Arabidopsis thaliana: one gene and its partners. The protein of the gene in region 1 interacts with the protein of each later gene in a pairwise test. Each region holds a gene or a part of one and is shown in the gene's direction. Other genes may lie near its edges.

The links.
Region 2: the proteins of PLIM2a (region 1) and ATAF2 interact in a two-hybrid assay, tested with the Arabidopsis thaliana proteins (one large-scale study listed by BioGRID).
Region 3: the proteins of PLIM2a (region 1) and SAP interact in a two-hybrid assay, tested with the Arabidopsis thaliana proteins (one large-scale study listed by BioGRID).
Region 4: the proteins of PLIM2a (region 1) and AT2G14880 interact in a two-hybrid assay, tested with the Arabidopsis thaliana proteins (one large-scale study listed by BioGRID).

Annotation. Positions count from the first base shown.
Region 1 is NC_003071.7:18,855,544-18,862,320, reverse strand, and holds PLIM2a (GATA type zinc finger transcription factor family protein), read left to right. Parts: upstream 1-3,042; 5' UTR 3,043-3,313; coding exon 3,314-3,448; exon of another isoform or gene 3,449-3,497; coding exon of another isoform or gene 3,498-3,539; coding exon 3,540-3,668; exon of another isoform or gene 3,669-3,751; coding exon 3,752-4,168; 3' UTR 4,169-4,380; downstream 4,381-6,777. Other genes in the region: AT2G45810 (DEA(D/H)-box RNA helicase family protein), read right to left, coding at 3-81, 167-240, 340-428, 506-686, 780-1,031, 1,253-1,491, 1,639-1,873, 1,961-2,021 and 1 more; PMM (phosphomannomutase), read right to left, coding at 4,568-4,620, 4,712-4,763, 4,862-4,951, 5,037-5,132, 5,213-5,312, 5,397-5,452, 5,579-5,614, 5,698-5,774 and 2 more. UniProt on the Arabidopsis thaliana protein: Binds to actin filaments and promotes cross-linking into thick bundles. Has an actin-stabilizing activity. The actin regulatory activities are inhibited by pH > 6.8 but are [Ca(2+)] independent.
Region 2 is NC_003076.8:2,856,464-2,863,679, reverse strand, and holds ATAF2 (NAC (No Apical Meristem) domain transcriptional regulator superfamily protein), read left to right. Parts: upstream 1-3,121; 5' UTR 3,122-3,535; coding exon 3,536-3,695; intron 3,696-3,784; coding exon 3,785-4,065; intron 4,066-4,156; coding exon 4,157-4,567; 3' UTR 4,568-4,831; downstream 4,832-7,216. Other genes in the region: AT5G09210 (GC-rich sequence DNA-binding factor-like protein), read left to right, coding at 1-53, 159-454, 832-961; AT5G08780 (winged-helix DNA-binding transcription factor family protein), read right to left, coding at 4,870-5,193, 5,298-5,385, 5,478-6,259, 6,348-6,497, 6,869-6,898; AT5G08770 (topoisomerase I damage affected-like protein), read left to right, coding at 7,149-7,216.
Region 3 is NC_003076.8:13,933,842-13,944,133, reverse strand, and holds SAP (Transducin/WD40 repeat-like superfamily protein), read left to right. Parts: upstream 1-3,266; 5' UTR 3,267-3,347; coding exon 3,348-3,554; intron 3,555-6,543; coding exon 6,544-7,677; 3' UTR 7,678-8,048; downstream 8,049-10,292. Other genes in the region: AT5G35760 (Beta-galactosidase related protein), read right to left, coding at 9,352-9,491, 9,633-10,026. UniProt on the Arabidopsis thaliana protein: Transcriptional regulator involved in the specification of floral identity. Acts as A class cadastral protein by repressing the C class floral homeotic gene AGAMOUS in the external flower organs in association with APETALA2 and other repressors.
Region 4 is NC_003071.7:6,391,843-6,398,813, reverse strand, and holds AT2G14880 (SWIB/MDM2 domain superfamily protein), read left to right. Parts: upstream 1-3,813; 5' UTR 3,814-3,972; coding exon 3,973-4,281; coding exon of another isoform or gene 4,282-4,290; exon of another isoform or gene 4,291-4,462; intron 4,463-5,011; coding exon 5,012-5,128; 3' UTR 5,129-5,504; downstream 5,505-6,971.

The DNA of each region.
Region 1 (6,777 bases):
AGTTACTGACAGTAGATTGCCTTGTCGATAAGTGAAGGTATGGGCTTGATTTCAGTTCCAAGTTCTTGCTCTGTCTGATACCTGTTGGAAACCAAATAATTGAGTAAGAAAGCTATAGCATCTATGAAAAGAGAGGCCACACCAGTTGAGAAAAAGAAACACGAACATTTTGAAGCGGTCCTCATAAGTTACCAAATTCACAGCCAACCCAAGGTGTCCAAATCGTCCTGATCTGCCTACCTGGTAATATAATGAAGCAAAAACCCATTCACAATTTGAACAAATAAAACAGAGCAGGTTCTCAAGAAGATAAACCAAAATCGGCTTCCCTTAACATACCCTATGTAGATACGACTCAGAAGTCCTAGGAAAATCGAAATTTATCACCACATTCACAGCTTGAATGTCAATCCCACGTGTAAACAAATCTGCAACAGACAGACATTCCCCGTGAAACATAAACACATTTGTCAATGTTCAAGCACATGAAATACACAAAACGTACCAGTGCAAACAAGATTTCTGCATGCACCATTGCGGAAATCATGGAAAACCCTGTTCCGATGGTCTTGAACCATCTTTGCATGGATATAGAAGCATGAGTAACCAAGTTCTGTAATTTTCTTGGCCAACAGCTCAACACGATTAACAGAGTTGCAAAAGATAATGGATTGGTTTATTTGGAGCTGCAATAGATAAAACAATATTTCCTTTAAAAGATACATCAAGTAGCCAGAAAATAAAACATTGGGGTTTTAAGACTGTAACAAAACTCTGACCTTAGAGAATAGCGTGTTAAGGCAGTGCACCTTCTGTCTCTCTTCAACAAAAGCATAATATTGGGTAACACCCATAAGTGTGAGCTGATCCATGAGATTGATAATGTAAGGCTTCTTGAGATACCGATCCTTGAAAGACTTCACAGTGACAGGAAATGTAGCTGAAAACATCAAAATCTGCCGGCTCTCTGGCAAGAACTGTATCAACTCCTCTATAGAAGGTTGAAATTCTACAGACAAAAGCTTGTCGGCCTGAAAAAAGATGTTTGCGAGTTAAGACCATGAGCTCATGAGGAAAAGAAAATTATTCAATCAAAATCTGCAAATATGAAGCATAAGAGGAATCGATTTTGTTTTAACTTTAGAGAAAGTTATGTTCAGGGAAAAACTAGAAATGTCCTTTTGGGCAAAAATCCAACAATGTTTGTTAATAAGAAAAATCTAGCTCAGGGGTAATAGAATTAGGAACTCACCTCATCCATTACAAGCATGGCACAATCTTTCAAAACACACACACCCTTTTTGGCAAGATCTAATATTCTTCCAGGAGTTCCAACCAGTAAATGGACAGGTTGATACAATCGCATGATATCATCCCTCAGACTGGTACCGCCAGTGGTGACCATAACCTCAATTTTCAAATATTTGGAAAGCTCCTTGCAAACCTGGGATGTCTGAAGGGCGAGCTCTCGGGTTGGAACTAGAATTACGGCTGCATAAGAAAAAAGATCAACAAAAGTACTGAAAACTCAGTAAGAAAGTAGGGTTTCACTGGAAGTTCCACTGATCAACTAACTCACTACAGAGAAAGGTAGGAGATCTTTTAACAGAGAAAAGTTCTAAAAGGAAAGTAAAAAACCTTGAATGACATTGTTCTCTGGATCAATTTTCTCAAGGGTAGGAATGCAGAAGGCACCAGTCTTCCCAGTACCATTTTTGGCTCTAGCAAGAATATCACTACCAGTCAAAGCAATGGGAATGCTTTCTTCCTGAATAGGAGATGGTTTTTCAAAACCCTTCTCATATATTCCCCTAAGCAGATCCCTCTTCAAAAAGTAATCTTCAAATTCATTTCCTTTAGTGGCAGTCACATCCTGAAGACAAGATATGGAAAAACTAAGTTCTAAGGGAACTGCTGTCTTGTCAAAACAAAAATCATATAACTATGCAATCATTCATACCTCTGTCTGGTAACGATTATCTCGTGGTGGCAGCTTTAAGGTTGCTTTCCAGTCTTCATTACTGATAAGCATAAGAAAACACATAACCCGTTAAACATCACAACAAGAGCACCATTCATAATAACCATTCTTCCAAACGAGCACTTACTTAGAATCGCTAATAGCTTCAGATTGAACCGTTTTTTCGACCTCATCTATGTAACTTGGATCACCAGGAAGCTGAGCCCGTCGAGACCATTGTTGTTCTTGCTGCTGCTGTTGTTGTTGTTGTTGCTGCTGCAGTTGCTGTTGCTGTTGAATCTGCTGGGGATAACCTCGCTGAACGTACTGCTGAGCATCAGATTGAGACTGGAGATACTGAGGAGGCTGAGGCTGAGGTTGCTGTGGAAACGGAGTCCGTGACTGAAGGTACTGTTGAGGCTGAGGTGGATTCGGATTCCGTGACTGAAAATTAGGATCCGGACCAGGACCCGCCGCACCAATCCCCGGTGGAAATCTTCCTCTATTATTATTATTATTATTCATCTCGATCTCGAAACAGAGAACTCTAATTCTACCAAGAAATCTTCACAAGCTCACAAATCGTAAATCTAAGAAGAGGCTATAAACAACAATCTGGAGAATGTTAGGTCACACGTAGCTTCGTAAGAGATGATTGATTGATTGATTGATTGGACTCTCTCTCTCGGGGGAGGGCAAGATCGGAATATGCTAACAATTATCCACAAAACCGTTTCCGCCAGAAACTAATCGAGCTTAGCTAAGATGAATAATTTTCTTTTGTCGTCTGGTTGGTTAGTGAGAAAGTGAAAGATACATACACTCGCCGGAGTCGTTGTTGTTGTTTAGGTCGTCAAGTGGATTTTCATTACACGGACAGGCTCTTCTTCAGTTTCACTCACTCTTATCCACATTTATTTCACTAAATTAGCCTTGTACGTTCGTATAATTATGAAATAACCCCCACATTTCTTTGTATTTATCATTATTCTCTCGTAATTTTTAAAAATAGATCTTCGGATCTTCCGCAAACAGAGCGTACGGCTGAAAACGTCGATACCCTTCATTGTGCTCGGAGTCTAAAATTGTAAAATTGAAATTAGAATTTTGATGATCGACAATGATTGAATGGCTTCTCCTCTTTCGAATCTCTACCACTAGAACCAAAATTACCACAAATTCTCATTTCTTCAAGAATTTTTGATAAATAAGACAGAGAACTTGAGAGATGAAAAGAAAAAAACACAAAACCTGGTGTTTTTTCTCTCGTCGTCGTTTGGTCGTGTCCTAAGACAAGAACCGGCGAACGAAGAACAAACTTTTTGAATCTAACATCCGAAAGAAAGAGAGAAAATGTCGTTTACAGGAACATTGGATAAATGCAAGGCCTGTGACAAAACCGTGTACGTGATGGATTTGTTAACATTAGAGGGTAATACTTATCACAAATCATGTTTCAGATGCACCCATTGCAAAGGCACTCTCGTGGTATTTCTCTTTTCTTCTTCTTCCTCCATTGTTACTCTGTTTTTCGACAATGCTTCATTGTTTTAAAAGACCACATCTTTTCTTAACACAGATAAGCAATTACTCATCAATGGATGGAGTTCTTTACTGTAAGCCACACTTCGAACAGCTTTTCAAAGAATCTGGCAATTACAGCAAGAATTTTCAGGCAGGAAAGACCGAGAAGCCCAATGATCATCTGGTAATGTCTTCAAAGATTCATCATCTTGTTTTTATTTCCTCTTTTTTTTCATCTGATTTGTCTCAATTGATGGATACTGCAAGACTCGAACTCCAAGCAAGTTATCATCATTCTTCAGTGGAACACAAGACAAATGTGCGACTTGTAAGAAGACGGTTTACCCACTTGAGAAAGTAACAATGGAAGGAGAAAGTTACCACAAGACTTGCTTCAGGTGCACACACAGTGGTTGTCCTTTGACTCACTCTTCTTACGCTTCTCTTAATGGCGTCCTCTACTGTAAAGTCCACTTCAATCAGCTCTTTCTCGAGAAAGGCAGTTACAATCACGTCCATCAAGCCGCTGCTAACCACCGTCGATCCGCCTCTTCTGGTGGCGCTTCTCCTCCTTCTGATGATCACAAACCTGACGACACCGCCTCAATTCCCGAAGCAAAAGAAGATGACGCTGCCCCTGAAGCTGCAGGAGAAGAGGAGCCTGAGCCGGTCGTTGAGTCTTGAAAATGTCGTGGAGGAATGATCTTATCAGTTCTCAAGTTTGAAGTTTTTATATGCGTTTCTGTTTAATGAATATATAAATACAAATTGTTGTTGTTTCTTCTTGTAAATTCTTGTAAAGTTTTAAAGCTCTTTTTGGAGAGAATCTGTTGTAAACAAAATCTTTAACATCCAATTTTTTTTGAAGAGGATATTTTTAACCTTTAGTTTTAAAACTTTGAGGACCATGTTCTGAAACAAAAGGTTATAACAAGATATTTTATTTGATGAATCAAAATTCAAAACATACGGTATAGATAGCATTCAAACACACTTCTCTCCATTTCTTGTAATCAAGAGTTGTGAGATTTCGCCAAAGAAGAATCAAACTCTTGACACTGTGTTCTTGAGATGAGTAGTGTTTCAAGACATGAACAGAGCCTTGCATTTTGCCACTGTGTCATCTGGACTCGTAACTGCAACAACAGAAACAATCCTATTTGTCATGAAAATATCTCGCAACACAAACATACAGAGATTAAACGATAATATATCCAAGTAGCTGACCTGAATGGCCAATTGTTTTTGGTGATTCATAGATTTCATAGTCATTTCCACCCTGCAGAAGTAAAAGCCATATTTTTACCCATCAAGCTCAACGGAAACCATACAACAACTCTAATGAATAGATTTGCAGAGTTGAGATGAGTCTTATACCTCATAGGTCTTGTCACCGAAGAAATGGATTTCACTGAAGTCCTCGAGGTATTGCAAGCAGTAAGTCTTATCCCAACCTTTAGGGAAGACCTAAGTCATAACAATTTGATTAGACTCAGTGACTCAAAAAATGGATTTAAGAAATTGTTATAATCCACATTTTGATTCTACTCACATCGAAGCTTATCTGTCCCCCAATTGAGAAAGTAAGGTTAAGATGTGCAAACCGCTCACGAAGTTCAGCTACCATCTTTGGTCGGATGTTTTGAACCTTTTAAAAAAAGTGTTGAATGACAATGCTCAAAATATATTCTATAAGAAATTGAACAAACTAAATATAGTTTCTTCTACCTTATCATATCTCTCAAATTCATCTCTTTCTTCTTGGCTGCAGTTGCGACCAATGGGTGATACATTGAGCATTCCATTTCGGAATTCAATAAATGTTCCCCTATGTATACAAATTTCAAGAAAATAAATCATCTTATCACTTTGCAAACATGATTAGAGACTAGCAGTTGGATCCACGTTATACCTCTTAATTGGAATATCCAGGTCTGCAATGTAGTGCAGCGTGAAATTTATCAACTCCTGCATCATCAATTTACGCTATCAGAAACTATCTATATACATATATACTTGCATACACTTCAACATCAATAAAACCACTAAAGCAACTGCTGCTACGACACATGAAGGACAGTGATATGAGTTTACCTTGAGTTTATCGTCTCCAAGGTGCAGCTTCAGGCTCTGAGAAAAAAGATACAAACTATTAAGAAACGATAAAACAACAATGTGGATGTAAGTAAGTAAAGCTATAGGTTCATATGCACCTGAATTCCAATGGATTTCCCATCTTTATGGGCGACAAGACCATTCTCAGAGAAACAATAATCATAGTCGTTTGTGACTGCAAAATTTACAAATTCAAAAGTTTAAGCCAAGAGAATCTCACAAGGCAAGAAAATTAGAGCCAGATCTAAAACTCCTTCTTGAACTAAGACTTAGGTAAATCAAACTCATTCCACAATTTGAACTCAACCAACTTAATGATCAGCAGCTATCCCAAATTCCAAATCTACAGACTTCAAGGATCTTCTGTATGCATGCTACTAATGGATCTAGTCAAAGATTTGAAGCAGAGAAAATCTATATAGTTTGTCTCCACTTTTAAAGGATCCATCCATATATAGTAGAAAAGAGCAAAAGAGACCATTCTAATAGAAGTAGGAAAATATCCTTTCTTTGAATACCAAATCGAAAATTCTACAGCAGGTTATAGTTTTTCCGATCCGATCACAGTCGTACCTGTTTTGCCAAGCTGCTCAGATATCTTACTTAGATCAGATCCACCGACGACTCCAATAGTGACGACCTGAAACTCTCACATACATTATATCAAACACTAAGTAGGCATAAACACAACCAACAGAAACGGAACTTAGCAACGATGGATCAATGAGATACCTTTCGCAATTCTCGGATAAAATCGAGCAATTCTGGAGTAGCTTCCTTCCTTGGAGCTGTGAGAGTACCGTCGACGTCGAACAAAGCGATCACTCCGGGAATTTTCGCCGCCATTGAATCCGGTGGTAGGGAATGATGAAGAGTTTTCAAATTAGAAGATGATAATGGCGGAACATGTAAATATATAAATTGGACCGATCTAATCTTTATTCTTTAACCAAAGAGTGTCGCTTAAACTATGGGTCCTCACTTTTTCTCCTAGAGATCAGTGATTGGTTGATAAAATAATCGTGACACATCAAAATTATTCTTTTCTAACAATCCTTATTTATGTTATATAAAGGGTACTTGGACGTTGTTGACCCAAAAAACATGAAATAGTATTGAGGCCGAAAACAATTAATTTTATGAAGAAGCAATTTGGGCCAGTACTACTAATGGTTTTC
Region 2 (7,216 bases), on another chromosome or scaffold:
AACTTTCTCTTGCTATTCATGCTCGCCTTGTTGAAGCCATTATAGCTATTAGTGTATGACTTTGAATTTCTCTTGCTAATTTCCTAATAAATCCCTTTTAGTCTGTTATGAGATTACTGGACTAGTGATATCCTCTGATCTTTTTCTCTGTTCTCCAGGTTCCAACATGGGATCCTCAGGTATCAAAGGATGTACCTAATGCTCCACAAGTTGCAGCATATAGGTTTGGGACATCAGTCCGTCTTATGAGAAATATTTGTATGTGGAAAGACGTCATGGAGCTTCCGGTCTTGGAGAAGTTGGCTCTGAGTGACCTTTTGTTTGGAAAAGTTTTACCTCATGTCAGAAGCATTGCATCAGAATCAAATATCCATGATGCTGTGACAAAAACTGAAAGGATCGTTGCTTCTTTGTCTGGAGTATGGACTGGACCAAGTGTCACAAGAACCCACAGGTAACTTTAATCTCTTTGAACAGTAACATCAGAAAATTTGCTTTGACTCGCACACATCAAGGTTACTCATAGTCCAGGGCTGTGAAATTGAGCTTGTGATGTCGCATAGTATGTCCCATTTCAGTTATAACAATCAGTCTGCATGAAAAATTAAGCTACTGTTTTGATACGATTGCCAACGTGAGAGTGAGAAACTAAGATGTGTGTCTACATTAAAACAAAACAAAAAAAAACGGGTCTACGCACGTCCAAAGTATCATTAACCTATCTTCATTTGGTTCCCCATGATATCCACATCTCAGATTAGGACATTACCACTTTGTGTTGCAACTTTGCTTTGATGCATACTCACATGCATGTTTTATTTGATTTTTCAGTCATCTGCTGCAACCCCTTGTGGATTGTACTCTGACACTTGGAAGAATACTCGAGAAAAAGGTTTGCCTCGGGACTGGTCGATACGGAAACCACTGGTCTCGCCCGCAGGTTAAAGAAAATACTTGTTGAGCTCCATGAACATGGACACGCTGAGGAAATTGTCAGATCATTCAGTCTCTAGGAGGATGTTGATCTCCAGCTAACCGATCCGTTTTCCGTAAGGATAAAAGTTATTTAACAATGAATTCGGATTGGATGTTGATCTCCAGCTAACCGAAACCGTTTTCCGTAAGTGACCCAAAATTAAGGCCCAAACGTGACCCATTATTTCCTAAGTTGTTGTGTCGAGAAAGACAAATTGGGCCGATGTTTTTAAGTTGCGGTGACGAATTGATTGAGAGAGAGGGACAAAATGGTGTGACAAATGGATGTATTTATTTGATTTTTTTTTTTTGCAATTAGCAAGTAGTTTGGTTTTTGAAGAAACTTTGCAAGTTGTTTATTACACACGATTATAAGAGGTATGAGCTTTGAGTAAATTCGATTTAGAAACTCGGAAGGTTGGAGAAATCTATCATAAACTTATAATTCACTACTCAAACATTCCAATTAAAATGCTAGAATTAACTACAATATATGCACGGTTTCAAACGAATGTTATATAGTAAGACTTTTGTCATACGCACGCACATAAGAATAAGACAAGTAGTCATATGAATAGAGAATAGTATGTAGTATATGTGATACTAATTGTTGTTAACGATAGGTTCTAAGTTCCGACAATGAGGTCCCAAGTTGTCTCCTCCTTATCCAAATTCTCAAGTATATTCCAATGTAAATTTCTAGAAACGACAAAACATAAAGGTAATAATCCATCACCAAAACATTATATTTGCATAATTTGGGTCAAGTTCGGCAGCTATAACATCAAGCTCCACGAAGCTTCCTATTTCAATTCACACCGCGACTAAATTAACAAACAACTGCAAAAAAACTATAAAGTCGATTTCTCTCTTTATCATAAAAATTCAGATCAAGTCCAGATCCAATTGATCTGAATTTTATAATAGGAACAAATCATGCGTTACGATGTCTTTTATATATTTTCTTGTTTTCTTTTTTTGGTTTAATATTAGTGGTCATATCTTTTATTCTAGACTTGACTGTTATCATCTAAAACGACAGAAAAAAATGAAGTCGTCAGTGCACGAAAATTATTTAGCTAAAAGCCTAAAAGATGTGTATGAAATGATACGACTTATATAACTTGCATTCTTATATCGATAAAGAATCCTTATTGACAACAACAAAAAGTCATGTTTGACCACAAATATTTCGTATTATAATTAATTTGGCTACTAAGGGACTTTTAATAGTAAAAGGAAAAGACCATGATCTTATAAAACATTACGTTGAATCGATCATAATTAGTTTATAATATGATAGAAAACGTAAGTGATGATGATCATAAAACGGGGAACAAGCCCACGTCATGCTTGCATACACACCTACCTCAACTTTACATTTAAAGATTTTAAAATAGAAGAGGATTCATGGGCATTATTTGCTAGTGAATCAAACTTATGAATTATAAATTAAGTCTGTAATGAAAGCGGCTCAATGGGTACTTAATTAAGGATTAAGCTAGTGGTTAAATAGTTGTCCTTAACACATATTTTTATGTAACGGGGAAACTCAAACTAAAGCGCAAACGCTTTCTTTGCGAACTCCAATGTTTTTATTTATGTGAATGTAGTATTATTAGTCGAGAGTATTTATAATTAGTGACTATGATTGGCGATTGCAACTTTAAATGACGTCATCCATCATGACGCAAAGCTTCGCCTGAAGAAGGAAATTAATCAGCTGCGGAGATGCTCACCGTAGTTTCATCAAACTGTCCAATCACCAGTCAAAACTACAACTTCCGCCCCAAGAAATGCTGACTTATCTTCAGCAAGGTTACAATAATGTGTCAATTTCAATATCATAAAAAAGTAGTGGCTGCTGAGATTTTTCTTTTTAAATCTTAGTGGTAAATCTTAGTGGTAAGTAAAGGAACAAAAGCGATAAGCTACACTGAGAAGCAGGAGATTACGGTTTGACATATAAAGGCATTTCCATCTACGAGAAATCCACAAAATTTCTCAAACAAAAAAAATATTAATATTATATTATAATTTAATTATTTAATTAAAAAAGTATTTTTGTTAAAAAATTGAACCAATAGTAAGATGAGAATTGTCATGATGGGTTGTAAAGTATCTCAAAGTTTCTCAAGTAAGAAACTTTCTACACTCTCTTTCCCAATGGAGATGGTCTAAAGTCGGTCAACAATTCACAAAAGGTTTAAGTGACGCAAGCAATGACAACATCTAAGTCGACTATCCAATAATATTACGCCACGTATATATCCAGCTGGCTGCGGTCAGCGTAGAAAAGAAAACGGTCTGTTTTGCCGCACGTGCTTGAAAATCCCCTCGTGTCATCTCTTTTCTGTTTTTTGTGTTTTTTCAATTTAAATTAATTAAAACATTTCGGCGATTTTCGTCCTTATAAAACCTTCGTCGCCTCACTCACATATCCTCGATTACAATCTTGAGCAGACGAAGAAAACCCAAAAAAAATCCAGATCCAGCTGAAATTGAATTTTCAACCAACGAAGAAGAGATTTTTCCAAGAGCAACAGACAAGAAGAAGAGAATGAAGTCGGAGCTAAATTTACCAGCTGGGTTCCGATTCCATCCAACGGACGAGGAGCTTGTGAAATTCTACTTGTGCCGGAAATGTGCTTCCGAGCAGATCTCGGCTCCGGTTATCGCCGAGATTGATCTCTACAAGTTCAATCCTTGGGAGCTTCCAGGTACACCTATGGGCTTCTTCTAATTATTTTTCGCGAAATCATGTGTCTTCGAGAATCGTTGTTTATTGAGATGTTTGTTCTTCTTTCAGAGATGTCTCTGTACGGAGAGAAAGAGTGGTACTTCTTCTCACCTAGAGATCGGAAATACCCAAACGGTTCGCGTCCTAACCGGGCAGCAGGAACCGGTTATTGGAAAGCTACCGGAGCAGATAAACCGATTGGTAAACCGAAGACGTTGGGTATCAAGAAAGCACTCGTCTTCTACGCAGGGAAAGCTCCAAAAGGGATTAAGACCAATTGGATAATGCATGAGTATCGTCTCGCTAATGTTGATAGATCAGCTTCTGTTAACAAAAAGAACAACCTACGAGTAAGTTCTGTTTCTTATTAACTTATGTATCATCTTTTCGTGAATGATGATTTAGATTATTAACTTTGTTGTGGTGGGTTTTGCTGTACAGCTTGATGATTGGGTTTTATGTCGAATATACAACAAGAAAGGAACCATGGAGAAGTATTTCCCCGCGGATGAGAAGCCGAGGACCACGACAATGGCTGAACAGTCATCATCACCTTTTGATACATCAGACTCGACTTACCCGACATTGCAAGAGGATGATTCCAGCAGCTCAGGTGGTCACGGTCACGTGGTGTCACCGGATGTTTTGGAGGTTCAGAGCGAGCCTAAATGGGGAGAGCTTGAGGATGCTTTGGAAGCTTTTGATACTTCAATGTTTGGTAGTTCCATGGAGTTGTTGCAGCCTGACGCTTTTGTCCCTCAGTTCTTGTATCAGTCTGATTATTTCACTTCCTTCCAGGATCCGCCTGAGCAGAAACCATTCTTGAATTGGAGTTTTGCTCCACAGGGGTAAAAACGGAAGAGACCAAAAAAGGTGTTTGCTAGTAGTACTGTGATGTGCCAGAGAGAAGAGTCTCATCTCAACTCATCCCTGGCTCTTAGTAGTAAAAGAAGATTGTAGAATGTTAATAGCTTTTAGCATCAATGTCTCATTAGCAGGCACATTCTTGTTCTTTCATGAGAAGTTTATATGAAAACTAAAAATTTATATTCAAATTCTTCAAGATGTTGCACTTATGTAGATACTGATATTAAATAACAACCTAACCTTTATGAGATATCATGCTCTCCGGAAGCATTTTTTGATGAGTATCATCAGCTGAATCGAGGCGATTTCCTCACAGCTGTTATTCCTATGTCTCTGAGACTTTTGATTCTCGTTTTCTTGACCTGAGGTTTCTTTTTGGAAGACTTCTCTCTTTCCTTCTGTTCAAGCTGTGTGGAGGGTTTTTCAGATCCATTATTCCCACGAGGAGTCTTCATTTTGGGATCCTCTTTGCATAATCCTTTGCTTATACCTTCGAGTTCACATCCTGGAGATACAGAATATGGAACCACGGTTTCATCACATGAATCGATGATCTCAGAGAGCTGGCTTTGTAACTTTTGGGCAGCCTTCCACAGTTCTCTGCAGCTTTCCTGTGGATAAAGAAAAGGAGACAACAAAAAAACATTCAGAACCTGTTTTTCATCAGCTCAAAAACATATCAGTGACATGACGTAACAGGGATTTTTGTCCTCACCATTGATAAAGGCAAACGAGAAACATCATCAATTTCTGAAACAGCTTTGTTCTGCTGGTCTTTCTCTTTGCACTGTTTTAGCATTTTCCTATTTTTCCAACCCCAAAGAGAAACATGAAAATCATTAAGCTAATTCAAAGATGAATAGAAAAACAGGCAACAAAAGGGATCAGAGCTTACTCTAGAGCAATGATATTGCTGCATGCTTCGGTTTGGCACTCCCAAAGTTTTTTATATGCTTCACTCGTGACTTCCACATTTTCTTTCGTTGTGTTAGATGTTCTGCGCAGTTTTGCTTTTCTCACTATTGAGCTTGTTTCCATTGCTTCTTTACCCGACTCTTCCATCAACACATCATTCTGCTTATATAGAACAGCCACTTCATATAATTCACCTCCTCTACTGTTTGCTTCAATCCTAGCTTCATTCTCACTATTTTCTACATCTACTACTTCAACAACTCCCTCTTTCCTAGGAATTTGAACAGTCGAATCCCTTAAACCTGCTTTGAATCCATTATCTTCTGTGTCCATTACTTCAATGACGTTAATGACACAACATGCTTTACGTTTGGAGCCGGTTCGGGATTTAGTCAAACTCTGTTCTTCCAACAAAACAACCTTAGGATCCCCAGACTTCAAAATTTCAACACTTTCTTCCTTGTTTTGGCAAGTCATAACCTCATCCGCCGCACGCTGATCATTTGTTCTCACTGTTATCAGATCGCTCTTTCTCTGAACATCAGTGGAAGCAACAGTCTTCTTCTCACCCGGGAGAGAGTAACAGTCGTTGTTGCAGTCACAAAGTATCTCTCTTTTCTCCACAAGCTTAGCTAAATGATGACTAAGCAAATTCGTGTGAGCAAATGGCAAGTTCTTGTATTTCGACTTTATAAACTCAGATATAGCATCTTCACTTGCGCCACCTTCTTTATTCAAATCCATGATAGCAATAAATATCATCTGAAACAAATGTATACAGTCATAAGAACACAGCAGAGATATGTATGTGTGTATATGCACATAATAGATGTTATAATTTCATACATACAGCGGAATAAGTGGGATGATCAGGAGTACGGGATAAACACAGATCCAAGAATTTCTGTTGGAAGAGTTTAGTCTCAGGAAGGGAAAAGTCTCTTGAATTCGCCAAATTCACCATAAAACCTCTCAGATTCTCAACTTTTCTTTCATGTGCCTGTTCGTCAACAAAAATTGTTCATAGTTAACATTCAGTCAGATTCAATGCATAAACAAGTGCTCAAAATTGTGGAATCAAGCAATTAAACTTATGAACAACTCAAACATTACATGATCGTACAAATTTTCCAACGAGACTTAGAGGAGTATACAGATCCATAAAAACTACCATCAGAAAACACTGAATCACCGAAATAGAAACTTTTTGTAAGTAAGAAATTAGTGATTTCAAACCCAATTTGAAACCTAAATCACAAACACGTTGATAAATGCTGACGGAACTAAGAAAACCTTGAAAATAAGCGGAATAGTGAAAGAGCATGATAAATTACATAGAAACGAAGAAGATAAGAAGCAATAGTTACAAACCATAGACATTAATGTAGCAGAAGCCGCCATTGGAGAAGAATCGAAGCTCTGCAGTGTACACAGAGTCGGCGCTTAAACCTCGGGGAAGTAACAAACATGTTATGGGACAAGCCAAACTAATATCGAATTGAACCAAATGAAATCGGAATAAACCGATCCAAATAGAGTATGTTCTTTAATTTAAACCGATGGGTTATGTTTGGTTCAAGTAAAGCTACCCTAAAGGGGAAATAAAAAGCAAAAACAACGAACGAAGAAGACGAGAGATCAGAAATCGGAAATGCTTCCATTAAAGCTTGCTCGATCTCTTCTTCTCCACGAGACTCTCAATCTCACTCATAATTCCGG
Region 3 (10,292 bases), on another chromosome or scaffold:
ATGATTTAAATATAGGTTTTAGAGTCCTTTTAGAGTCTTTTAAGGTATTCTTTGGATTGGGACAAGAATGGAGTTAAGGAGACAATTTGGAGCAAATGCTAAAGAAACTAAGCCAAATGACGAATTTAGTTTCAGATCAAGTCGAGAGTGTCGATCGACACACTCTTGGTGTCGATCGACACCAGTTGCGCCCTAATAATGTAACCTACACGTTTTTAGGTTATATATATATATATATATATATATATATATAGTTTTAAGGTCATTGTTGTGACCTAACAAGTTTTTAGCCACCTAACTTGTTCTAAAGCATTTTATAAGCTATTTATACATTGGATTCATTTTTCTGAGTTTTATCAGAGATTTCAATAATACCGAAGAGATATTTTCTAACTCTTTCTTCTTATTGATTTTGTTTATGCTTTCTCATTCATAAATGTTGTTTGTTTCATCCATCATGTATGAGTAGTCTACTTGTTAGGGTTAGGGTTTCTCATTAGGGATTTAGATGATTTAGTAGATTGTTCACCTGCTAGGATATATGTAGGATTTTTCATCTTTGGTTATTCTTAATGCTAGTTCTAGAGTAACTAATTAGAACTTAATCTTAAATAATAGGTATGCCCAAAAAGGTATATGTTACCAGAAATACTATTTGATGAGCCAAGTTTATAGATGTGAAATAAGAATCGGCCTATCTATTTAGGTGAACTTATCAAACTCGTTTATCATGCATGTCTTAATATAGGGATTTGCCAAGCGACCGCTGGGAATCTTTAGCCCTAGGCATATTGAGTAGCACGGCGAACCACCGCTTATTCTGTAATTAGGGTTTGAGTTTAAGAACGATTCGATAACATCCTAGCTATTTCTATATCTCTTATCATCTATTTCCTGAGAATACCCTAAACCTAACGTTTTTATTATCTTGTCTTACAACTTCACAATCCACTATCTACTTACTTGCTTTCTTTTTATTTTCTTATCATCTATCTAGCTTGATTTTGATACTTTAGCCTATTGTGTGAACAAAAGAGTTTTGTGGAATTTTACCCTTAAGTACTAACGACGATCTCTTATTTGAGGGAGTAAACTTAGAGCAATTTGACCTACATCAAATTCCATTGTTGTACGTGTACGGTTTCCACCCCATCTAAGCAACGATATTTCATCCTTATTGACTACGTTCCTATATCGCTCTCCAAAGCATTTGACTGAATCATATGCCCAAGCCTGTAACATGAAAACCATACCACTGATGGTGTACGACTTTCCAATAGGCCTCAACATCTTTATAGCATTAACCAACGAGACACCAAATCTCCTTCAAAAGTATTATTAACTGTCTACTTAATAGAAAATGTACAGTCTTACGAGACCACACGAATTGACTATTCGATAACTTAGTAATTATTCCAATAGGTGCCTCCTTCATTTGATCCCACACATCTTATCATACTAATTCTCTAAATCCCATAGAAATATGTCATCTTGATATTGTGATTAATGAGTTTATTCTCTAGATTAGACTCTCCTTCTGCGTAAATTCTTAGAGGGTAATCCTTTGCTTGTTCTTCAGAAATAACCTTAGCCATCTAATAAACCATAAATCAGCCATAACCATACATTAACTCAGCCACAACATAAAACAAATTTAGCCACAGATGCATTGATAAATCATAACTCAGTCAAACATACAATAACTCATCCACAACATAAAACAAACCTAGCCACATATGCATTGATAAATCATAAATCAGTCATAAAACATACAGTAACCAAGCCACAACACAAAACAAACTCAACCACATATGCATTAATAAATCATAAATCAGTCCTAAAGCATACAATAACTCAGCCATCAAATCGAATAGAAATAACAAATCAGCCACCATATGTAAATCGACGGCAAAAATCAGCCGTAATAAGCGTCGATAAAAACCATCAATATCATAACAGTGGTTTTAGAAAATGGTTTTAATCATGGGAATCACTTGCTATTGAACTTAGATGTCTGATTATTGTCGGAAAAATCGAAATAAAGATTTGACACATATCGAAACAAGTTGAGTTGAGACGAAATGTGACTCGATGACAACGACGTTAAAAGTTTCGGGCGGAAGAGACGAGAGAAAGAGAGAATAGCCACGAGAAATAGGTTTTCTTCGTTTTCGGATAAACACCTAGTAAAAGAGAAGACATTTTTTTTTCCCAAGATGAACAATGTCTGGGAGGAAAACCAAAATGTTCCTCTTAGTGACGTTAATAATGTGGCTTTATTTTTTTTTCTCTCTTAATAACGTGATTCATCATTATTTCGTTAATTATTTTTAATTAAAAAAGAATAAAAATGTTTTAACTAAAAAATACTAATCAAAAATGTTAATTGTAATTATATAAAAGCACTATATATATGAATAATTTTCAGAAAATGTAAATATTTCTATATTTAGATTGAGGAATAAACTTAAAAGCATCGCATGCTCATGTGTTGGTTTGTGATGAGTTTGGACTAAAGTTCACGATGAACCGTGGTTTTGAGGATCGTGATAGCTGCAATATGAGAAAAAGTAGGGTTAAGTTTTGTGATGACAGAATATGGCGAATTCTAGGTTTGAGGATTGTAATGATAAGAATATGCTTAACCAGATTTCCAAAAATTATTTACTTATAATGACAATAGTATGTTGGGAAAAAAAAATATGTTAAACTATGCTTTAAAAGTTTTTACTACTGGTATGAAAGTCGAGATTTGGTGCTACGAGTTTGATCTCTCTGACAAATTTTTTGCGTATACATATTATTTTATTTCTCATTTTTAAAATGGATCGATCTACAAATATTTGTGTTTAGCCAATAGTTTACCATATACAAAAAATTTACTAATGTTCGCGGAAGGAAATAAACTTAGCAAATATATTGTTGAATTCTTAATGATATATAACACTATTTTAAATATAAAAAATCGTCAAAATATAAATCTAGTGATTTATAATAATATAGCTGTTATATTGCCATTATAATTCAAAATCTGCATATCAAAAGAAAGAAATTTTGAAATATGTCACCATACTGAACCAATACTTTTCCTAAAAAATATAAAATTGAAGCTATTTCACAAACAAATCTGCATCTATTAAGAATAAACAAAAACAAATAATAACAAATCTTGACAAAAGAAAATAAAAATAGGAAAAAAACATACCTTCACAACCTGGGTCCCCCACCTCGGAGAAGTATGTCTTTATCTACACTTTTTGTCCTTTGTTTCCTCTCTCCCCCACCATTCTTTCTCCTCTCTCCGCTTCTTCTTCTTCCCCTGTTCCTCTTATAACCCCTCTCGTCTCATGTCTACCTCCTCCTCTTCTTCCGACAACGGAGCCGGTGGAAGCGGCGGCGTTTTCGAGGCCCCATCTCCATCCCGCCCTCGCCGCGGAGCCAACGATGTTTGGCCGGAGCCTTTTCTTGAATCTCTCGCCGTTCAAGTTGCCGTTAACGCTTCCACATCCGCCGGCCTCCTCGCCGCAGCTCCGGCTCTTGCCAACGTTTTTCGGGTCAGTTCTAACGTTCTTTGAATACCTTCTTTTAGTTTTGTAACGGTCGAGACACATCAATTATCTCGTGTCTCTCTATATATATATGTACTTCAGGTAGTAAAGTAATATTTTCGTTACACTATCTGAATTCGTTTATTAGCTTATATTTGAACTTGAAAATAGTGAGACATAGATCTTATGCAGACAAAACAAAGTCAAAGTAGTCGTGGGTCTATAATAACTTAAGTGGAGGGACACAATCTTGGTCTAGTCAAATGTACTGCTTGTTTCAAGTGTCTTGTACTTTAGTTGTTTCTAAGCTTAGATTTGATTCTGCCGTTCTAATTCTTTTTGGTATAACGAATTCTTACTCTTTAGATCATAATTAAGTGATGATGTTACTTCAATTCGATTGAATGTGATATTAGTTTGTAAGGTTGGGATTCTGAAGAGACAAAAAAAAAAAAAAACTGACCTTTGGAAAGGTAACCGCCCTTTCTGTGTTTCTATGATGGGTCCAAGTCCAACTTTTATGTCTAACAAGACGACATTAATTTGATGTCTCTTTCACATATCATATAGTTTGGGGACTTTGTTTTTCTTTTATGTATTTAGAAACTTTTTGTCTTCCATTTTTACCCAATAAGTTTATTTCTTTTTCATTGTTCTCTCGTCTACTTTTGATACCTTTTAATGTCTATTTTTGGATCCTCTAAGGAGACCATACAACCCCATCTCGTTTGTGTAATCTTTGTACAACATTTGGGCATAGTAACTCTAATATTAATATTATATTATGAATTGGATCCCTTAGGGCACAAAATCAAGGTTTTATTTTATTTTATTGGCTTTAAATCTTCCTTTCTTGGCATGTAGAAAGCCCTTTTTTAAGATCAAGAAATCCACTTTTTGACTCAAAAGTTCTTACAATAATAATCAAATTAAACACTTTCTTGTCTCCAAATATTGGTTGATAGACATTAGGCACAGTCTTTAGTCCAATGCCCAATAGATTTAATATTTTTTAGAATTATAATTATAACGGTATTTATCTGCTAATTGTTTTAAAATTATAATAATAGAAAGTGACCTCTCACGACAGACTCATAAAACTAGAAAATGTCGTTGCACATTTAACAACATCTAAAAAGAGAATGAAAAGAAACCTAAGTAAGGTCCTGTCTTTTTGCCTTGCCAATGTTAGTCCTATATTACCACATTAGGTTATTTTCTACATACATGAAAACTCTATTCATCAACAGATATATGATCCATGTATTATATCAGGCATTCATATTATTCTTTTTAATAATCCTATGTTATATATGAAAATAGCTGTTTTTTCTTTTGTTCATAAAAAAACAAATAATACATATATATATTATGCTGAAGATTTTTCTCATATATAGTAACGAGGAATAGTATATAAGTACATATGTACATTTTTTGCGTCCTGCTTTTGTTATTTTTTTCTCTGCCAATATTATGATCCACTGAGTAATGCATGCAGAGCTTCTGACAACTTCTCATTCTCTTATTTTATCTCACTTCTCTATGTATACATGATAATTCTAAATCATTATTAAATCCCATAATATTTTCTAATTAATTGAATTTTCAAATTTGCCCTAAAATTTTAAGAAACTGCAGTGTAGTTACAGCATAACACTTTTGTCAGAGAATTAAGGCTATAAGTCTAGAGTTTTCATTGTTGTTTTTTACTTTGAAATTGATCATGGAATTATCTTTTTTCCTGACTCGATTCATCTTTTCCATTGAAGTGGGTTTTTATCTTTTTTTTTTCTTTCCTTAATTTTTTTCAGTCAAAAGAGACGACATTATGGGCATACATATGCCGAAAAGCACATGGAACCCAATGTTAAGGGTCTCTTAGAGCACGTGCAGTGGTGTCTATAGATTATATACTATGTTCTTACATTTGATATATCACACATTAAAATACAAAAGTGATATTCTGAATCTGGTCATCTTAGAACTCAGGAATATTTGAACTACTTTCTTTCCCTTCTTATTTGAAGTATATCATATTGATGTGATTGGTAATTTGCATAATAATAAATAGGATTTGCCATTCCATCATATGTTATTTGTTGTACTAATCTATTTTATGTTACATTTCGTGCCCTAGTGCCTAGATTATTCTTTTTTTATAATGATTATCTGACTAATAGACATTAAACCTTTGGTTTGACAAGATATCTTTTCTTTTCGTATAGAATTCGAAATATTTGATTTTAGGTTGTACTATAGAGCTAGAGTACGAAGTCAAATACATTACTTTGCGTTTAATGAGGAATAAAGATGTACAATAAATAACAATATAAACGTAAATGTAGAGAATGTAGGTCCACGGATTGTTGGAGAGGGATGAGAGAGACAGAGAAACATCTACTATATATAAGTGTAATATTTGTGTATTTATGGGAAGCTCTACTTTTAACAAGACCAAAGGCTTAAAAGCTATCCTTTCTTGGAAATGAAAGAGAGAAGGGCACGCTTGTTGGCAAAGTCGGAATCTCATGTTCAGCTTAACTCATTTAAAGTCTTCTCATCTGTCCTAATAAATTAACATATCATCTGTTTTGTATTATTGTCACATTGATTTGTTTTTTGTTCTTTTGACATGGGACTAGGGCTTCCTCTCATTATTCCTTTTACACTAGGGCTTCTGTTGTTATATCTCTATCTATAGCTTCCAGAGATTGATTAGTCCCGTCAATTGAACATATGTCATAAAATAGATTTTTATAAAAATGAGTTGTGTGTTTCGATGAGTAAGACAAATATTACGCAGAGCTTGTGTCTGAGTCTGTCGTTGTCTTTCCATCTTCCTAGTCCCTATATATAGAGTCTTTCATGCTTCGTTGCAGGCCTACTTATCTTCTTTCTATGTCTTTTTTTACTCTCTCCCTTATTTATACATTTATTAATTAAGCTACTAATTATAATATTTGTTAAAACTTATAATAATTTTTCTTAATCGCAGGTTTGCACCACGTGGCACGCTGTCTCTCGCTCCGACCATCTATGGCAACTACTATCTCGCCAAGTTTGGGCAAGAACACATTTGATGCACGACACGTGGCGGGACGAGTTCATCTACCGTCATCGGACGGCTAGAAACTTCCGGACGCGTACTCACACCTACTTCACTCTCCAATTTGACCCGTCTGATGTGGACGAGCCTGATAGTCTCTCTTGCCGTTGTCTCACCCTCTCAGACCTCTACTTAGCCGCAGGGTTCGCCGACGGAACCGTCCGGCTTTTTCTTTTAAACAACCGACTCCACGTCAGGACCTTACGGCCACCTCTACGTGACCGCTTTGGTAGATTCTCACGAGCCGTCTCAGGCATTGTTATCTCCGACTCAAGGCTCACGTTCGCTACGATGGACGGAGACATCCACGTGGCGGAAATAGACGGTGTTGGTCACACACGCACGGCTTACGCAGGAGATATAGTTAACGACGGTGCGTTGGTAGATTTCACTGGCTGTGGACGTTGGTGGGTCGGTCTTTTCGCGGGTGTGCCAGGTCGTGCCTTTCACATATGGGACTGTAACAGCGAAGAGACAACATTCGTCGGTGGTACACTCACCGACCCTGAAGCTGTCATGGGATGGCACACGTTAACAGAGCTAACAACGTCCCTTGGCCGTCTCAGAATCTCCGGTAACGAGACGGCGGTAGCATGCACGAGATGGAGAATCATGGTGATCGATCTAAGAAACCAAGGAGTGATCATCGGAGAAGACGAAGAGCAACGTAGAGGACTAATAGTGACAGGCTTCGATGCCAACGACGAAGCGTACGTTAGATTGGACAGTAGAGGAAACGCTAGCGTGCGAAGGGTGAACACGCAACAAACGGTGTGTGAGTTCCGTGTTAGTGGAGCGGCGCAGAGAAGAGTAATGGGTTGTGTTAATAGACTGCACGCGCTAATGTGCGCAGGTGGTATAATGCGCGTGTGGGAGGTAGAGAGAGGAGAGTATCTGTACAGTATTAGGGAGAGAGTAGGAGAAGTTGACGCCATTGTTGCCGATGATAGACATGTGGCGGTTGCGTCAGCTTCATCAACGGCTCAGAGTATTATACATCTATGGGATTTCGGTGCACTGTAGCGTACCAGATTAATAATTTTTTTTTTTTAACTTGAAGAAAAAGAAACTATTTTTCTCTGAAAAAGCGAAACCCTAAACCTAGGTGTATATGTAGGGTTTCTGATTATAAATTAAATTGGGAAAGTGACGGAGGGAAGATGGTGACAGGAGGGTGAGATTTACAAGGGAGATTGATTCTTTCTACAGAGTTTGACCAAAAAAGTAAGTTACTGTTTTTGTCTAAAACCAAACAAAGTGGACTTTTTCTTGTTGTTCTTGTTTTTTTCCTTGTGTTTAGGGCTCTCTCAATTCTGACTTTGTACGAGATGTCTTTTTTTTTTCTTCTACTTGTAATTCTTCACTTTACTGGAGTTTATTATTTTGTATAATGGGTTTTAAATACATTTTGTGTAAAAAATATATTTTACAGGAGGTGTAGACAGAAACAAGATCAAAATCGAAAGAATGGTATAGAAATATGAATCATGAGATCTAGATGTGATTTGAGCATATCCCAATTTTAGGATATATTGGAGTGAATTGATAAGTAAAATGTTCAACAAGTTATTCATAAACAATAACATAAGAAAAGAGCATAATTGGACACACCCAATATACAAACAAAACGGCTAATCTCATTGAACAAACAAGATGATAAAGAGTGAAAATCAAAATTTTCCAAGTTTGAAATAGCGTTAGAAGCAAGTTCGAGAAGACCAAACACACGCCAATTCAAGAAAAAGTTGCACTCTACATAAAATTTGAGATGGTAACCATATATTGTGACTTTAAATCATAGTTCAAAACTTGGATTCTCACAAGAATGAGTCACGTTGTACCTACCGGTCCCTAAAAAACCATCACATAAGAACACAAACAGTTAGGATCTAAAACATGTTATTTAGAAACGAATTCGTAAGGACAGTTCTCAAAGAGAGGGAAATATCAATTTGATATTTATGTATATGAAATTACAAGATGTTTGATATAATGCCACGTTTATTTTGTCTTTTAAACAGATTCATGTGTTTGAATTTTCACATCTATTATCTTAATTAAGTCCACAAGGCTTTGTATTGGAATTTGCAGGGACAAATCAACTTATGCAAATAATATGACTCTTGAGAGACCATTGATGCATGTTTCATTATTAGCGAATGTGCCAGTCTTTTAAGTTTCAGGTATGCGGATTTGATTGTATGATTTCTAGTGTTTTTCATGTTTTTTTTTTGTTATATATAATGTCTAATGGGCTATTTCTAGATAGAGCATATACAAAATCGCAAAAACCCAATCCACAAACTTCAATACAATAAACAAAGCAGCTCAAAACTAAAGCCATCTCAAATTTACAAACCGAATTTAACTAACCAAGATTGAAAACCCTAATCTCAATCAAAAAACATGATCGAGCCGCCGTCCAAAACTGCAGATTCTCGCTGAAATAGGACAGCCAAACGAGATGGTGATCCAAAATTTGTTGCCATGCCGCCACTGTAGAGTTGTTTTGAGAAGGAGGAAGAGAGCCGATCTCGTTTTTGTTGAAGAGATCCTTGCTCAGTCATGAAAGAGAGAAAATAGTAGGGAATAGAAAACAGAGACCTTCGACGTTGGCTTCGCTTTGCCGGATCAAATATACCTCCCCCATCGACAAAGATCTCGTGGAACCGCCACAATTTTCGGTCTCAGATCTATCTACTTGTCTCTCTCGTTCTTCGCCGTAGATCTCCCTTTTCTACTCTGCATCGCTACACCGCATGTGGAGCTCTTACCGTTGGTATCAGGCGGAAGCTTCTCCCCTCCACATCTCCTTGATTTTAGTCGGATTGCTTTGCCTGAAAAATGCAGCATGTTACAGATGACGAACTATGAGCTTTTGGGTCCTCATCTTATTTTTTTTTTTTCTCAAACAATAATTTTCATTCACTTAAGCCTAAAAAAAGGGAAGTTCATACAAATTAGAACTAAGATAGTACAAGAAAATGAAGATAGAGGCTTCATGAGTTTTGCAAAGAGGTGTTCACTTTTAAAAAAGTTTACAAGGTTTGAAAAATCTGTTGAGGCTTTGGCGGATTCGACCATGAAGACGGGCTTCGCGAAATCCTCGACCAACGTGTGGTCATAAACGGCTATTGCAAACAATGCATATGAGCCTTTGAAAAGGTGCTCCACGGGAGAAAATAAAGGGTAGATCATAACGCCGCTCTTTGCCAAGCTTTCACAGATTTGCAACTTATCCGTATACTTGAAGATACCTTGAAGGAGCTTGGTAATTGGCGGGTAAGGAGGTAGAGAGTTGAAGAAGCTTCGGTAACCACCGCTCCGTGGAGATGGGATCATAATGGCGTTCTTCTTCACTCTTTTGGACATTGCCAAAGGTTTGGGATGATAGTCTCAAATAGGGTTCGAAACAAAATTAACAAATGACCTCGACAAAAGTATCTATCAAAACAGCCTAAAAGAACTGTTACTCTGTTAGCGTGGAGTCCACGACCAGCCAAAACAAAGTTAAAGGGTGCTATAGGGGTTGTAATTGACAGAAACATAACAATACGGATCATGGGCATCAAGACTCTAAAACACTTCAAAAGTGGAGTTAGCCCAAAGCTTTTTGAGATCAGATTTGTAACATAAAA
Region 4 (6,971 bases), about 12 Mb from region 1:
TCGAATAATATTAATTTCAATTATTTGATAAGTTTTGGATTCTTACTTTGTTAGTGCTATTATTGTTCATGTGCCACAGGGCAATATTACTGGCATTTCATCATATATATATAGCTGTAAAATCAACCAAATGTATAGCCGTTGTTTACTCTCATTCTTCAAAAAGCTTGCCGCCATTTTTTCGCGCATTTGTTGTTCGTTGCGATTTTTTTCTATCAAATTCTTTATAAAGATTTTTAATTTTAACGTTTTATAAAAGTTTTTAATTTCAACGGAAAAAAAGATAAGAAGTTTTGATCAGCGTACAACAAAATGAATAAGAAATTTCAATCACTGAATGCAACGTTAATTGTACTCATTATTAGTCTCTAGATGATGTGAGATCCGAGATATATGCATTTTTAGGTATGAATGAGATGATGGATGAATTTGGTTTATGCCTAATGATTTGGAAAGGACTCCATTCGAGAGGTACACTGATGCTTTAGCCCGTGTTACCGGTCCGATGATACCGGTCCGATGATAGTGTCACAGAGGACGACAACAGAGTTGGAACTCCTGCTTTAATGTCTAGACACAATCATCACTACAACAGATTTGGAGCAGGTGAACTGTGGCCAATAGTTTGATTCTCGTATTTTTCATTTTGTTCTCTTGAATGTTATATATGCTCAGCAATAATAGAAAATTTTGAGCTTTTAATTGTTTTCATTTGAAGTAATTGATTAATAATTTTAAAAAAAAAATAAAAAAAAATAGGTGGCTATCCTCAAATTTGGAAGTATTTAAAAGTGTAGCAAATGATTTTTTTTTGGCAAAGAGAAGAAAAAGGTTGACAAACGTGTATTTGGTGAGTGTATAAACAAAAATCTTAACTATTTGGTGAGTGAATACAACTATTATTAAAACAAAACATCGCCGCTAAGGTTTTCTTTTTGGAGGAATTGAAGTTAGATCCACGTTGTTATGGCAGAAAAAGATGGTGATCGTGGAAGAGAAGAAGGCTGGAGGATGGAGATGATTGTACATTGTTAAGTTTTCTGACGGACCGATGGTTAACTTTTTGTGCAAAAATGATTGTATGCCGTGATGGTTCAGAGGGTAGTGGTGATGATTCTATCGGTTGTGGTGATGTTTATGATATAATAATTTATTTAATATGATAATATTCATTTATTACATAATAATTGAATTTATGAAAAAAGATTATCAGTTATGTGATGTATAACCGAAAACATGGTCATATATGCCAAATAAACTAAAGGATATTCAGCTTCTCGACGTATATAGATTGTATGACCACATAAATGAAGTATATAGCGTCATGTAGATAATATTATAAACCGAGAATCTCAAGTTCACCAGTCAACTAGTTCTAGTTAACCGACATTGACCAGCGAAAATATTCAGAAATAATTTTTAGTTTATTTTTAATATTAAAAAATAGATAATTTTATTTGGTATTATATAATCAAAAACACATTCTATATCTAATATAAATATATTTTGTATATATATATATTTAATGCATGAATCTGATAATAGTTAGTTTTTTTCAATTTCAAATCTAAATTAAGAGTAATTTTTTTAAGATATGAACTATTCATAATATTAATTGTTAGTGTTTTTAGAATTTAATTATTTAATTGATAAATTTTTTTAATTAATAGGTAATTGGTTTTATATTATCAATTAAAAATATTAACTTCTTATTTGATTAAATATTTTATAAAATTTCAATTTTGAATTTAAAAAATTACTATGCAAAATTTAGACTAAAAAGTTATTTAATCAAATTTTTTGCATATTATTGTTTTAATGAAACTCTTTTTCAAAAAATAAAAAGAAACTCTTATAGTCATATGTATTGGGTTTGATTCTAATGATTTATCTCCTAATGAAATAAGAATTTAATATTCTTTTAATTGATAACAAAAATGATTCCTTTATTCAATTTTTTTTTTACATTCTTAGTTTAGTTTTGAAATTGAAAAACTAACTAGTATAAGAATCAATGCATTACTTATGAATGCAAAAATATTTATATTAGATATATATTGTGTTCAGTTATTATGCAATACCAAAAAAACTAAAGTTTTTTAATAATAATAAAAAATAATTTTGAATATTTTGTTGGTCAACGCTGGAGTTAGTCGACCGGTTAATCTGAAATGCTATATTTATGATGTTGACCACATAACGCTATATACTTTCTATATGTGGCCATGCAATCTATATACATCAAGAAGCTGAATATTCTTTAATTTACTTGACATGTGTAGTCATGTGTTGCGTTATACTTCAAGTATCTAACAATCTTTTTTCTTTAATTTTTTTTGATAAATTAAATTTATTATATTACTATACTAGTTAACATATTAATCAAATAGTTATCTGCCACACAAATATTATACCTTATATAACTCGTTATTTTGTTCTTCATATGATATGATAAATGAGTTAACTCGATAAATATAAATTTAGCACATAAATTATAAACTTATTGATATATACTTTGTTATCATGATAACCCGATAGATAATCATCTAACTCACAATATGTTTTTACTCTTGTATTTAATAACCAATATATCCAGAATCAGATTAAAACGTCGATATCTATTTGTTTCTATTGCTAAACAATTTGTGATTTGTGAAAGTATGTATTTTTCCAACTTATACAAATTGTTGAGAGAGAACTAATTATACAAAAAATAGATATGTTCTTATGTTTAAGTTTTTTGGGTATTAAGATTATTATAACCCATTTTTTGGAGACATTATGTCTAATAGCACATACAAGTAAAGTAATGACTCCAAAAGCTTAGTCAAGATGTTGGTAACTATAATAGCACATATATATGTTTTGAAAAAGATCTTATAGCCATAAAAATTTGTATATTCACTATTATTGCCATTTTGAATTAAAAATGAAAGAAAAAACAGAAAATATTAAATTAAAGAAAACCTATTTTTTTTTTTTTTTTTTCGTTTGGTTAGCGACAACAGTTGAGGGCAAAAAAAACCTCCGACTATAATTTTTCTGAGGAAAACATAGTTTCTGACGAGGCTAACAATTTCAGTGATGTTTATCGAATAGCATTTCATCTACTTCCACGGTTGAGGAGTTTGATCAGGCAAGGTCTCGGATTTTAGAAGATTAGTTGTCGTAATTTTCTAGGTATTTTCAATAAGAATATCGGTTTTATCTTTTACTATGTGATATTGATAGTTGGTTTGATGGTCGAGATGTTCAGGCCGGCCGCTGCTATATCTTTGGATATTCTATTGTTCACTAGGGTTTACATAGGTTCAATCATTTAGTTTTCTTGATCATTCAAGATTGATGTTATCTAGTTTTGATCTGTTGCTTCTCGTCTCTATATTTTATATATGATCGAAATCTGCTTCTATGGTGTATTGGTGTGGTTCTATGGTTTAGCTTGGAACTCTAAGTAGTTTTTCTTGCCAGGTTATGAAGCATAGTTTAAAAAGTTGTACTACGCTTATAAAGTTTGGCTTCTTAAGAGAAGGATTTGTATGATTGTTGGCCAAAGACATCTTCGATACATTCTATCAATTTTTTAAAAAAATTCTGATTTCTTTAGTTAGTTTGATATGTCTCCATTTTATCGATTTTATTTTAAATTTTTTGAAGTTTTCACTTCTAATTTTATATTTTCAGTTCTTTTTGACCGTCAATTATTTTTTTTATCATAAAGTTTTAGATTCTAAAAATATTTATATTTTTAACCCGCATAAATTTTGTATTTAACCAAAAATTTCCCTAAGGTTTTCTTTTAACAATTTGTCCATTAGAAAAAATAAAAGACAATAAATAGTGTTTCTCCTCGATGAAGACAAAACTCCAATACTAAGAATAAAAAAAATAAAAACCAAAAAGCAAAAGGGATAACACAAAACCCCTTTCACCTTCCCAATTCCACCACCACACAGACAAAGCACACCGAAAATGGCGGTTTCTTCTGGAACATTCTCCACTTTCCTCTGCATCAAAACGACATCTTTCCGCAACCCATCAACTCCTCTGTCCTCTCTCCGGTTCGCCTCTCACCCGGCGGCTAAACTACGCTTGGTTCGAGCGGTAACATCTGCGACGGAATCTTCAGAGCCAACCGCAACCAATAAGAGAGTGCCACGCGGTATCATGAAACCTAGACCAGTTTCACCAGAGATGCAAGACATCGTCGAACTTCCTGAAATCGCTCGCACACAAGCTCTTAAGCGTATTTGGGCTTACATCAAAGAACATGACCTTCAGGTAACTTAACAACCAAGAATCTCTCTCAGAAACACTCTGGTTTTGGTTTCTCTTATGGTTTTGTTTCGCTTTCTTCAATCCGGTGGTTTGATATTTTAGGGTTTCTGTAGGAAAATTGAACGGTCTGGATTCAAGAAGACAGAAATTGAATTAGGTTGTCTTCTTGTTAGTTATGTAACTTGTAAGTTTTCTTTAGATTAGGAAGCTGAAAATATTTTGGTGACTAATTGCTTCATATGATTTTGGGGGTAGTTGTTTATAACGTTTTGTATAAGCAAATTTGATTCTTTGATTGCGTCTCGTTTACTTGCTTGGCTATGTGTATCCTTAGAGATAACTAATAATCTTCTCTGGGCTATGTTCTTGAACCTTGTTGCCTAGTTTGACCAAAATCCTAATATGTTCTGTCATTGGCTTTGTATCTCTGATGTTTTGATCTCTGCTTCTTGGTATTGTTGCTGTTTGGTTCAGGTTCTCTAAGTATGAAATGGAACTTTTTTCAGCTCTTGAAATTCTAGTTCTATAGTGTTTAAATGTGGATGCTGTTTCTCTGCAAGATTTATAGTCTATAGCAACCAAGTAGCCAAAACTTTACTCTAGTAGAAAGCTCTGTATTATTCTCATTGACATGTCTTGAGGTTTCAAAGTTTAAAGAACCAATTTAGCTACGGTACTTCAAGATGTTTTACTTGCATCAAAGTTTTACTAAATGACTAATTTTGTTCTTTAGGACCCACAAAACAAGAGAGAAATACTGTGTGATGAGAAGCTGAAGAAGATATTCGAAGGAAGAGATCGGGTTGGGTTCCTAGAGATTGCAAAGCTCATCGGTCCTCACTTCCTCTGATGGATTGTTTCCGCGGAACTTTATTTGGATGATTGTCTATGTTTTGTTGTTGACCTGTTATGGCCATGAAAAGAGAAGGGTATTTGAAGTTGAGGAAGACTTAGATTAGTAAATTAGGTTTTTTTTTGGTTGCTTCAATTCAATGGATGTTATGTAGTCGTTGCTTCCTAATGTTGTTTGCGTTTTCGTTTCGATTTCAGATTCTATTTTTCTTGTTTGACTAACGGTAAACGGCTTTTGACAACATGTTTTTCCGTTTATTTAGTTTTCGAAATTCACACATGTTAGTTACGTTTTATAATCATGTACATACTCCGTTGAGAAGAGATTGAGGTAAGGTTTGGAAGACATATCTACTAGGCTCAGGGATTTGTGGTATGATACTAATGACGTATATACTTAGAAACGGTTGACAAAAGAGCGAGAAAATTTACATTTTTCACTTCACTCGCTATATTACGAACTCATATTACCTCTGGATAGATTGAATCTCGTTTTGTCTAGAAAATTAACCATTTTACCATTTACAAATATCAAATAATTTAGTATTAATTTGGGTTTAGCCTATAGATATGTGAAACTAGGAATCAAAATATCTAAATATGGGTTTTAGGTTCGGCCCATTGAAACTTGTCTGTCTCTCCTTCTCATCTGTAAAGTAGAAGGCTTTTTTTGTTTTTAGTCGGCCAAATTCCATTAAAACGGAAGCCCAATGGGCAGTACAAAGAAGTGAAAATTACATAAGCCCATTCTCCAACATATACATCCTTGATTAGGTTAACAACTGCTTAATCTTAAACTAAATAAAGTAAAAGATTAAGAAAATAAGGAGCCACCACGTGTAACACCACGTGTAACACCACGTGTTAACACATAAGAAGGAGAAGGAGAAGCAGTCGGCGCCGGGCAAATCTGCGAGTTGACTCAGCACCTCCGTTGGCTTCAAGCAACCACCACCGTACTCCTTCTACAGTTTTCGTCTTGCAGATCTGATGAACAATCACCGGTTCCGTCTGAAAGAAGCTCAAAGAAGACTTGAAGAAATCTTTATCCCTTAACCCAATCTCCTAAATTGGAAGCTCCGCCTGAGACCAAAAGAAAGTCCTCGACTACAACAGAGTCATATGAAGCGGCGAAGATGTTACTCCGATCAAAGAGAGGAGGCAAGCCGACGGTAGGAGGAAGAGATCCAGAGATCGCAAGAGGATAATGGATTGAAAGCCTTGTAGAAAGAGGAAACAAAAAAAACTTGATCCAATCTTAAGTAACCAAATTGGATCTTATTAGATCCGGATTAACCGGAGATTGGTCCGACGAAGCGGAAAAACAACAATCTGACTGCAGTCGGAAAACTTCTATATTACAGAACAAAAGCGGCGGCGATAATTCCGGTGAACCGGAAATCTCCCTCTCTCTCTAAAGGATAGAGGTGTGTTAAGAGAGAGAAGCCCTTGGTCTGGTAAAAAGTGTGTTTTTCAACGTGAACTAACGACAAATACCGATTTATACGTAAACAAGTAATTTAAAAGAAAACTACATGAACTATTAATATAGTGTTTAACTACAAGTCAATGTTAAAAGATGTCAGTCAACGCTAGTGATTGTTGACTCAGTTGATACATATATATTGAAGTAGCATATTCTTCAACTAAAATGACATCGGTTTGCTATTTTGAAATCAATTTCTTTATTTTTTAAATGTAAAAATGGTATTCGAACTGGAAACCCGTTGTAAAACTATAAAGATGTTGTGTTTTCGGATTTAAATTCGTATAACCTTTAAGATGGATATGTTGTGTCTTCGGATTTAATTGTTGTGTCCTTGGATTTCAACTAATGTCTT